Caenorhabditis elegans: one gene and its partner. The protein of the gene in region 1 purifies or fractionates together with the protein of each later gene. This does not show direct contact. Each region holds a gene or a part of one and is shown in the gene's direction. Other genes may lie near its edges.

Region 1 (5,452 bases):
ATGGACCTTCTTGAACATCTTCTTCTTCTTCTGGCATTTCATACATTTGTCGAGGATCCATTCCTTCATCTGGACGGGATGGCCCAACTACATCCATGCTGCTGTTCATTGTCATATATGGAATTTCTGATGGAATTTCTGATTCTTTTCTAGTTGGAGCAGATGAGAAACCGAAGAAATCGGTTGGACCGTCATCATCGTCATCACTGTCGTCTGGCAGTTTTGGAGCTGGAGCCGGCTTGAAAACTGGAGCAGCAGCAGGTGTAGCCTGGAAGAGAAAGAGTTTTAAAATTAAAGTTTTAAATTAAATAAAAATTCAGTGAAGAAATCTGGAAATTTTATCCTGATTTTTAATATTTATGGGGACAAAAATCGAACAAAAATTCCCCGGTTTTATATTTTAGCTTGAAACAGCGAATTTTCGCGCCAGAGACGCCGTGTGTCGATTTACGAGATTTGTGTATATTTACAAGATTTTCAATCTTTATCGGATGCTGATTTCTGTTTTTCAACGAGTTTTCTTTATTTCCGTCGGTTTTTGACAAAATGTTTTGAGAAAATGTGTTTATTAAGGCCAATTAAACATTATATTATCAAAAAACCAAGTAAATTTCCAATGCTTAGGTCACAACTCAGCGGAAAATCCAAATATATGCTTTTCCTGACTGAAAATCGAATATTTAGTTAGTTTTTTGATATTATAATGTTTAATTAACCTCAAAAAAAAACACATTTTCAAAAAACGTTTCGGCAAAAACTGACGAAAATTGAGAAAACCGGAAATCAGCATCCGATTAAGATTGAAAATCTCGTAAATATACACACATTTCGTAAATCGACACATGACGTCTCTGGTGTGAAAATTCGGAAATCTCATGGGGACGCAAATGAAAATCGGCGATTTCAAGCTGAAATAAGAAATTAGGGAAATTTTTTTACTTAGTTATTCGAAATCAGAAGTATATTTTCTCAGAATCCGCACTCGACTTTCAATTTTTACCTTTTTAGAAACTGAATGTGGAACCATGGACTTATCGAATACATTTGCACCATCTGAACGATTATCTCTTCCTTTTGGAGCTGGAAGGTTTGACAAAAAACTGTTTCCAAGCTTCGGCTTAACTGTAGCAACAGCAGCACCTTCATTATCACTGTCATCGCTGGAATTTTCGCCAGTAATTCCTGCGAGAGCTCCGAACGCCGAAATTATAACTTTTCCTTTTGCTTTTTGAATTCCACCACCAATTTTCGGAATTTTTTCAACTTTCATCGCTTTTTTCGCCAATTTTTTCTCCTTTTTTCTCTCTTCTTTTTGTGCTTTTTTCAGAGCTTTTTTCTCCAGCTTTCTCCTTGCTTTCTCGGCCAATTTAACCTCCCATTCTTTCGGTTTTACTAATTCTTCGAGAACATCTTCTTTGTTCATGTTTGGTGAGCTTGATTTTTCTGTATTGTCAAAAAATGCTTCATCATCGACGAGTTGTTGATTTTGTGGAGCGAGTGAATTCTGAAATTTTGGAAAATTCGAAAATGTTTTCAAACTGAATAAAGAATAATTTGCTTACTTTTTGTTGTGTTTCCATTTCTTCATCACTTTCTGATTCACTTCCTGCGTAATCCACAAGGCCCATTTTGAGAAGAATTCTTCGAAGAAACGAATAATTTCAGACGAAATAAACAATACGAATATTGATTTCTTTATTCGAGAGGACTACACACAATAAGAAAGCAACAGCGCTCCAACGTACACCGCGCGAAAAACACAATTTTTCAAACAGCGATGGAGGGAAATTTCTTGAGTCCTATTTTGTTTCTTGTTCATTTGTTCCTTGTTTCATTTGCTTTTCTGTTCTCACTATTCAATAAAAATAATAATTTCAGTAAAATGTCAGCCAAAAATAAAGAGCTCGCCGAAGAGGACGTGCTCAACATGACATGCGACAAGCTTCGCAAGGAGTTAAAGAAGAAAAGGGCTTCGACTGCGGGAAAGAAATCGGAACTTCAATCGCGTCTTTTGGAGGTTTGAACTCAGTCGAAACAATGTGATTAATTTAACTTTTTCAGTTTCTCGCTGGCCAAAATAATGCCGGAAACGGGGAGGCAATCAGGGAAGAGCCGGAAGCCGAGGCTATGGACACCGACGAAGCACCTGCCAATCGCACATTCACAGTTGAAGAGGAAGAAGAAACTGAGAATACTACTGGCAGATTTGTTCGTAAGTTATATTCCATTTAGTTGAAATTTAAACAGCTTTATTACAGACGAGAATACTCCGACAAATGCGGTTGCTGTCGTTTTGGATGATGACTTGAGAAACCGTCTCTGTGGCAGTTTGGGAATCGATCTGCAAAGCTTCGAGGTGAAGTCACGCCCGAGAGTTCATCGTCTTTCGACAAGACTGTCTCTCCGCGCTAGTTCGTCGACTCCTCAAACATCTGAGCGACCAGGAATGCCGATCGAGAACAGAGGAATTACGCCAGTTCGTCAGCGTGCTCCATCCAGTGGAAGAGACAGATTCGCAATGATTCATGCAAGAGAGATGGAAAAAGAAGAAACACTCGGAGAGCGTCAAGAACGATTGAAGAAACGACACGAATTCATGACCGGCGACGTCCCAGAAGCTATCAGGAGACTTGCTACCCCGAAAAGTGTGCCAAGACGTGACCCAGTTGATAGATCAACTACAAGATCTGCTGCGCGCAATTGGCAAGTTCAGGATCCTGAGAAAATGTCCTTCCAATTCGGGGATAAATCTGCTGATGATTTTCCCGCTCTTGTCAGCTCACGAGCTGGCTGCTCATCGTCATCTGCTGCCACCACCTCTACCAAAAAGACAAAGTCCGTTGCAAGATCTCATGTGGACGTGAAGAAGCTCACCAAGTCACAAATCCCGAAACCATGCCGTTTAACTTCTCGAAAAATCATTCCTGCAACTGTCCCAGAAGATGATACATTCACCGAGTACATTTCCACGCCAAAAGGAACCACTCCAACTAGAGGTAACTATTCATATTTATCTTTTTTTCGCTAATTCATAGCAATTTTTAGTTCCACGACGTGCTGGTTACACACCACACTCTACGAGAAAAGTGTTCGTCGACACGACTCAATTGACGGATCGCGAGTTCACTTTGGCACTGGAGGAAGGATTAATCCCCGGAAGAGCTGCCACGAACCTCGAGAAACAACAAGTGGAGAACAAGAAGCGCCGTGACGACATTATCGCACTCAAGCGTAAAATGAATATCAAGTAGATATCTCAATTATTTTCTTATTTATCTTCACTCACTCGTCTCACTAGGCTAAACCTGTAAAATATTTCGTTGTTGACTTGTCGAGTTTCTGAAAATGAATTCTTTTAATTTATTACAATTCTCTTTATTTATTTTCTATTTATTTATTCCTCTATTCAATTGTTTGCGACAATTGTGATATCTTTGAATATGTCTTTTAATTTTTTTAGCAAGAAATATACGGTGGATCCGGATTCCCGAAGCGCAATTCGCGGCACGGTTTAATTTTTTAATTTACCATAAAAGCGCGTGCCGCGGAATTACTTTTCGGGTTCCACCTTCTATTTCTCGCGCTTATTTTGGACTTTAATTACTCTGACAATATAATATTAATCTTTTCTAGTGCAAAAATGGCGTTGTGGGTGGACAAATATCGACCAAAGGACTTGTTGGGAAAGGATGGCGTTGATTATCACATCGAGCAGGCCAATCATTTGAAGTTTCTCTCCGCAGACTGTATGCCGCATCTCTTGTTCTGTGGTCCCAGTGGAGCTGGAAAAAAGACACGGATCAAGTGTCTGTTGAGGTTTAATTATTGGTAAATTCAGTAAATAAAATAATATTTTTCAGAGAGCTTTACGGTGTTGGAGTCGAGAAAACGCAGCTCATCATGAAGTCGTTCACTAGTCCGTCGAATAAAAAACTTGAAATACAGACTGTCTCGAGCAATTATCACATCGAAATGACGCCGTCTGATGTTGGAATCTATGATCGAGTTGTTGTGCAGGATCTCGTTAAAGAAATGGCACAAACGTCTCAAATCGAATCAACTTCTCAAAGATCGTTCAAAGTTGTCGTTCTTTGTGAAGCGGACTCACTGACTCGTGATGCTCAACACGGACTTCGTCGAACTATGGAGAAGTACGCGAATAACTGTAAAATCGTTTTGAGCTGTGAATCCCTGTCCCGTATCATTGAGCCACTTCAATCTCGTTGCATCATCATCAATGTGCCAGCTCCAACCGATGAAGATGTGACCAAAGTCTTGCGGAAAGTGATTGAACGGGAGAGCTTTCTACTTCCGGAGAACGTTTTGCAAAAGATTGTGGAGAAGTCTGAAGGAAATCTGAGAAGAGCTATTCTGATGACTGAGGCTTTAAGAATGGAGAACGAGAGTGGTGTGGCTGAAAGTGTAGTAATTCCGGTTCCGGAATGGGAGATTTATATCCAAGAGACTGCTCGTCTGATCCTCCAGAAACAGAGCTCCGATATGCTTCTGAAAGTTCGCGAACGATTGTACGAATTGCTCTCCAGATGTATTCCACCAACTGTCATTTTTAAGGTGAGTTATAAGCACACAAATAGTATAAAATGTTCAAAAATATTTAGAAATACATTTTCAGAAACTTCTCGAGCATCTCCTTCCCAAATGTCCGCCACAAATTGCACGTGAAGTTGTCAGTGAAGCAGCGAAATTCGAGCATCGCCTTGTTCTCGGACAAAAAGCAATTTTCCATCTTGAAGGATTCGTCGCCGCTTTCATGGACATTTACCTTACTAATGCTTCTAAACCCAAGTGATCTCTGTCCCCGCGTATTATATTATTCTACTTTTGTGTAATCATAAACTTGAAACGAACTACATTATGGTTGTGTGGGTATTTACAGAAACAGCATATAATAAAAATCGTATCGCAAAGGAGAATAAAATGACCGGCGATAAAGCTTAAAATATTTAAATAGATTATGAAAATGACGTTATGCATCACTGTCCCGGGGTTGAGGTTTCGGGCTTTGCGCAGACTTCAGAAGACGATCGAGTTGGGCCTGGGTGGCTGCGGCATCCATCGGCTGGGAAACAGTGGAAGGAGAGCTCACCTTGCTCGGCTTGTCCTGAAATATGGAAATTCACATAGAAAAAAGATCTAAGATTGATTTACCTTATTGAGCAAGTTGGAGAAGAAATTGGCGAGTGGACTGTCCTTATCGGTAGGCTCTTCTTGCATAGTCCTCGGCTTGGGAGCGGCCGTAGTGGTTGAAGTTGCCAGGATGTCCATCAACTTCTTCAAGAAAGCCTGATCTTCCTCGGCTTCGATGAGCTGCTCTTTTGCGACAGGTCTAAGCTTATCGCGAGTCGGCTCTAAAGCTGAATCCACATCCGGAATAGACTCCTGAAATTAATCATGAACTCGGATTCTCCAATTACTTATGTAAAACTTACAC
Region 2 (6,397 bases), on another chromosome or scaffold:
CGCCGGAAACTACTTCTTTTCAAGAGGTCCTGAAAGTTGCAACTTACTACATATATCTGTGGTGTATGATATATATGATGTGCCTATATATTTATGACTCCATATATATATATAGTATATATATATATATATATATATATATATATATATTTCTATATATATATATATTTATATAAATATATATATACAGATAATTTTTTCCACGGGAATTGACGGGAATTCAAATTTTCTGATAATGAGAAAAAAAACTATCACAGTTGCAACTTACATCTCGAATTTTAATTGCGTCTTCTTGTGGAAATTGAACAATCGTTGTACAGAACTCTTCGAAATGAAAGAAATGATCAATTGCTGTCAGGTAACAATTTGTAACACCATAATACGTGGATCGGAAGCTTTTTGCACATTTCCACTGATCCAGCAAAGTGATCCTTTCAAAATCAAGAACCTTGCCAATGAGCAAACAATTAATATCGTCCAGCACGTCCGCTTCAAAACACGGCAATATTGAAAGAATTTCGTTGAATGTTAGGTATAGAAGATTTATTTTCTTCACGTGAACGCTTCCTCCGTTCTCCAAAACATTCACAAGAGATTTGAGAACCTCGTTTTTATTTCTTGTAAAGTTTTGCAGAACAAATGAAGATGCATGGTTCATTGCTATTTTCAGGTCCTTGAATGCCAACTCCATGAAATCTTTTTCTTGGATAATAGTCTTCCGTCCTTTGTAGATCACAGCTGAATCAGTGTATTCCAGTTCAATCTTATCAAACCGTATTGAAAGGGTTTCGCTCATAACGTCCAGCTTGATGGTGTCAAAACGGATTCCAAGCTTGTCAAGGGCGGCTCTCAAGCTTCGACAGACTTTACGGCAGGTTAGTCTGGAATTTAAATAGTTTTTGATTTAACACTGCAAGTAAAGTTTTAAGTCTAAGCCTACCATTTTAGCTCCGCCTATTTTTCAGCCAATTAACGTTTAGCTCCGCCTATTTCTCAGCCAATCAACGTTTAACTCCGCCTATTTTTCAGCGAATCAACGTTTAGCTCCGCCTATTCCTCAGCCAATCGACGTCTCAGCCAATCAACGTTTTGCTCCGCCTATTTTTCAGCGAATCAACGTTTAGCTCCGCCTATTCCTCAGCCAATCGACGTCTCAGCCAATCAGCAATTAGCTCTGCCTATTTCTCAGCCAATTAACGTTTATCTCCGCCTATTTCTCAGCCAATCAACGTTTAAATCCGCCTATATCTCAGCCAATCAACGTTTAACTCCGCCTATTTTTCAGCGAATCAACGTTTAGCTCCGCCTATTCCTCAGCCAATCGACGTTTAGCTCCGCCTATTTCTCAGCCAATCAGCAATTAGCTCTGCCTATTTCTCAGCCAATTAACGTTTATCTCCGCCTATTTCTCAGCCAATCAACGTTTAAATCCGCCTATATCTCAGCCAATCAACGTTTAACTCCGCCTATTTTTCAGCGAATCAACGTTTAGCTCCGCCTATTCCTCAGCCAATCGACGTTTAGCTCCGCCTATTTCTCAGCCAATCAGCAATTAGCTCTGCCTATTTCTCAGCCAATTAACGTTTATCTCCGCCTATTTCTCAGCCAATCAACGTTTAGATCCGCCTATATCTCAGCCAATCAACGTTTAGCTCCGCCTATTTCTCAGCCAATCAACGTTTAGCTCCGCCTATTTCTCAGCCAATCAACGTTTATCTCCGCCTATTTCTCAGCCAATCAACGTTTAGATCCGCCTATATCTCAGCCAATCAACGTTTAGCTCCGCCTATTTCTCAGCCAATCAACGTTTAGCTCCGCCTATTTCTCAGCCAATCAACGTTTAGCTCCGCCCACTTTTCAACCAATCAGCATTTAGCTGCACCCAATTCTTAACCATTCAGCGGAGGAAAGCAGCCCCTTCTGATTGGCCAGAAGTTGCTCAACATCATAGTTTTTTTCGTAGTTTTTAAGAGTTTCGAGATTATTCTGTATATTTTGAAATTTGAAAATGAAAAATTCGCATTGCTGTTAAAATGCAAAAAAACTTACCGTTCAATGGGCTCCAGCTTTTCAAAACATGATTGGCAATTTCCAACGGCAATTCTAGTAAAGTAGGCATTTTCGAAAGTTTCTTTTTTCAAGTAAAAACCTGAAGTTTTCAGTGTAAAATTTGAAGAAATTGGGAAGTTTCGAGTAAAATGAAATTATACCAATGTGTGACTGTTATCAGTTTAAATATTTTTTCGGGAAAAACGGATGGAGTCATACTTTTTTTACGGAGGAAATGTTTAAATACCATGCGTCATTGGAGTTTGTATAATAGAGAGAGTGAATAGACGTTTTTGGTTCATTTTTACGTTTGAATTTACATATAACTCCAGTAAAATGTCCAAGTTATCGCCAACTTTGCTCACTATCAGTATGCCTTTGGAAATTTCTGATGAAATTTTGTCAAAATTGCCTGCAATGGATCTGTAAGTTGAAGTTATAATTTCACAAATTTTTCCAAATGAAAGTCAAACTTTATGCTAAAAAATTTGAATTTCCCGCCAAAATGTTCAAAAAACATTTAATTTGAATTTCGCGCCACAAATTTTTAAAAATGTTGATATTAACGGTGCGTCAAAATTTATTTGTTCAATAACAAAATTAAATTTTATGCCAAAATTGTTTGGAATATTAAAATGTTTTAAAAATTTTAAATTTATTTTTGTACCCAAATTTTTTAAATATTGATTTTGGCGCCAAAATTTTTATTCTTTAAAAAATTGAATTTCGTGCCAAAAATGTTTGAAAAATTAAAATTTGAATATATATTTTTTTAAGATTAAAAACGTTTTTTTTTTTGAGAAATTTAAATTTGAATTTGGCGCCAAAATGTTTAAAAAATTAAAATTTGAATTTTCCGCCAAATAATTTTAAAAAATTGAATTTGAATTCAAATTCAAAATTTTGGAAAATTTTAAAATTGAATTTGGTTCCTAATTTTTTTATGATAAAAATTTGAAATGTGCTCCAAAATATTTTAAAAAGTTCAATTTGAATTTTCTGCCAAATATTGTTGGGAAATTAAAATTTGAATTCCGTGCCAAAAATTTAAGTTTTTTTCATGATTATATCTGATCTTTTCGGTACCAAATAAGTGTTTCCAGCTCAAAGGAGTCTTAAAATCTTTTTAGTAAAAATGCAATGTTCCAGACTATCCTGCCGTAAAGTGTGCAAAAGTCTGAGAAGCGCCGTTGACCAATCAGGAAACCATCTCAACAGAATCTCATTTGACATTTGTAATGATTTCGTTGCGATGGACTTAAACGGAAGTCAAATCAAATATACCGATGTTTCTGGTACTGCATACGTGACTTACAAAGGACGAGAAACAAAAATCGAAGAAGACAATTTCATGCGAGCAGCGTTCAACGACTTGGCGAGCGTATTGAAAAACGTGAAGAAGTTCGTTTTTCAGAACTATTCGAAAGTAAAACAACAAGCCATCACATCGTCGATAAATGATATGTTGGAAAATAAATGTATAGCCGTAGAGTCAGTAGTACTATACAACTTCCCACATGATGATATTTTGAACATCATTTCGAGTTGTCAAGCTGAAGTGCTCAAAGATATTGTATTATGGCACCGCGACGGAGTCGAGTTATCTGAAAGAATCACTTGTCTGGACCAATGGAAAAAAGCACGAACTTTGCATTGTCGGTTTTTGTTTTGTGATCTAGTACCAATTGAGCACTTTTTTCACTTTGAAGAGTTCAGTATTCAAATTGACAATCTCTCAATGCCAAATGCGATTAAAATTCGAGATGTGAGTTTTTCTGATTTTCACATGTATGTGGTATATAGTAGTAGTAGTAGTAGTAGTAATCAAGGGTGTCGGTTTTTCGTTTTTCGGTTTTTTGAAAATCGAAAAATCGAAAAATTTCGTTTTTCGTTTTTTCGATTTTTCGATTTTTTTTTTTTTTTTCAGAAATTAGCTTCATATTTTAGCCATTATTCTTCTTTTTAGAAGAAATGTGTATGTTTTATTATAAATTCAAGCAAAATTAGATTTAAAAAATCATATTTTAAGGATAATTTTCCGAAAATCTTTTTCGATTTTTCGATTTTCCAGAGAATCGAAAAATCGAAAAATTTTCGATTTTTCGGTTTCTGAAAATCGAAAAATCGAAAATTTTCGTTTTTCGATTTTCAATTTTTCGATTTTTCGATTTTTCGATTTTCACTGAAAAAAATTAAAAAATCGAAAAAATCGAAAAATCTAAAAATCGAAAAATGACACCCTTGGTAGTAATAGTGTGTAGTAGTATATAATTTGTATGTAGTATGTATGTATGTAGCATGTATTTATGTAGTATGTAGCATGTATATATGTAGTATGTAGTATGTAGTATGTATGTATCTAGTATGTAGTATTAGTAGCAGTAGTAGTAGTAGTATATAGTATGTATGTAACATGTATGTATGCAACATGTATGTATGTAGTATGTATGTATATAGTATGTATGTATGAAGTAGTGGTGTGTATGTATGCATGAATAACCTAATGAAATTTCTCGAAACCTTCTGAAAAAAGTTGCGGTGGTTTAAAAAATTACCGAAATTTGAAATTTGACCGACTTGTCAAGCACTAACTTTTATGAAATTACCATATAGCTATCTTAAGTTTTAACTTGATTTAGATACATTTAAAGTCGACGGATCACCAGATTTCGTAAATTTAAGTAAACCGAAATCAAGTCAAGACATCTTACTTGTATACCCAAATTTTTTTCAGGACCTCATGAACAAAACTACATTCAAGACCTGCACTATTTCAACTCACCATAATGTGCAATCAATTGAACTTGCAAGAATATTTCAACCGGACTATATGGGCGACATTGACTATAACATCAAATATTCTAATAACACTGGCACCTTCGAAATTTCTTTCAAATCATCACTTACTATTAGAGCACGGTTTGTTATTAAAAAATGCTGACAACAAAGGGATCTTGTTTCTATATTTTCCAAACGACCAAAATTATTCATATGTGCATTAAAAAAGTTTAATAAAAAACATGCTTCATTTTTGAAAAAAAAGCCCATTAATAATTTTTCAAGCAACACTGTTCACTGCTGAAACTCTTGTAGCCCAACTACCATCAGCAGACGGCTTCCGCACGAAGAAAGCCCGAACAGCGTTCCTGTACGGTGTAATGAAGTAAATTTGAAAAATTGGATCCAAGAAGCAAGGAAGTGCTCCTAGACAGGTTATTGTGTACTGAGAGATCAGGAATTGATGGCCTAAAGGTGATATATACAAATTATATTGGTTTGATAAGCTTCCCTTACCAGTGACTTGAATCAGAATAAATAAAAACACTACGGGGATATAACTAAGCATCGGCAGAAAGATTTGAAAGTTCAGGCCCTGGAAACCAAATTAAGCTATATAACAAAAGCTTACGCCTACAATAATCATTTTCCGAAACATAACACGTGTAGCGTCCGATGTGTTTGGGGATACATGAGGTTTAAGAAGCTTCATCGCCTGATGCTTCCAGTAGCTGCCGATCATTGGAAAATACAACGTGACAAGGAACATAGCCACTGTAGAATTATCGAGATAAACTTTTTGAGCTTGGCTGAACCCTCCAAAATTCAGATACGGAGTGTAGTCATACTCAGGGTAATGGGCTAGCGTTTCATTGTAGACTGCCAGATGGTCGGAGGGAGGAATCAAGGTAGAAGTCTGTAATAATATGGATTGGCTAGCTTTGTACGACGTCTAGCTACCAGATAGGCTATTATGAACAGGTAATGCCAAGAAAAAATCAAGGTGTTACGGCCAATTTCCTGGGCGTTGATCAACTTCAGACATACGGTGCGATAGTAGAGAGTGTGCAAGTTGATCAAGTTCACTGTTAGTACAGAAGTCTGGAAATTTGGAGGACAAGAGGGCCTACAGGGCTTGAAAGAGGATATCTCACCGCATATGCTTTATAGCACGTCGCACAAAACGTTGGCCCGAGAAACTTACAAAACCCATCACACAGCAACCCCATGGAATTCTCATTATCAATATTTCTTTAAAAAATTTAACTTAAAGGTGGAGTAGCGCCAGTGGGGAAATTGTGAAAAACCACTTATTTGATCCCAAAATGACCAAATATCATGATAAAACTTTTCAAAAAATTTTTGAAATTTTTTTATTTACTGTCAAAAAGTGGCAATTACTCAGTTTTTGCCACTCATAATTTTGGAAGTCGAGAAAATTTTGGCAATTTGCAATTTGACCGGAAATTATGAAAAATCTAAAATTTTTTGGAGTGTTTTATGATGATATTCGGTTGTTTTGGATCATTATAAGTGCATTTAGACAAAATCCCCACTGGCACTACTCCAC

Evidence for each region. Proteins that work in one complex are often made in the same cells at the same time.
Region 2: the proteins of rfc-3 (region 1) and fbxa-12 fractionate together in Caenorhabditis elegans (co-fractionation; one large-scale study listed by BioGRID). This does not show direct contact.

Annotation. Positions count from the first base shown.
Region 1 is NC_003282.8:13,092,129-13,097,580, forward strand, and holds rfc-3 (Replication factor C subunit 3), read left to right. Parts: upstream 1-3,633; 5' UTR 3,634-3,640; coding exon 3,641-3,816; intron 3,817-3,860; coding exon 3,861-4,572; intron 4,573-4,633; coding exon 4,634-4,810; 3' UTR 4,811-4,952; downstream 4,953-5,452. Other genes in the region: prcc-1 (Proline-rich protein PRCC), read right to left, coding at 1-268, 1,001-1,504, 1,563-1,628; C39E9.12 (SAP domain-containing protein), read left to right, coding at 1,883-2,017, 2,062-2,212, 2,259-2,996, 3,046-3,251; dli-1 (Dynein light intermediate chain), read right to left, coding at 4,988-5,122, 5,170-5,400, 5,451-5,452.
Region 2 is NC_003281.10:2,217,376-2,223,772, forward strand, and holds fbxa-12 (F-box domain-containing protein), read left to right. Parts: upstream 1-2,332; 5' UTR 2,333-2,421; coding exon 2,422-2,474; intron 2,475-3,198; coding exon 3,199-3,814; intron 3,815-4,783; coding exon 4,784-4,990; 3' UTR 4,991-5,066; downstream 5,067-6,397. Other genes in the region: srd-65 (Serpentine Receptor, class D (Delta)), read right to left, coding at 5,108-5,295, 5,344-5,422, 5,465-5,743, 5,788-5,928, 5,982-6,078.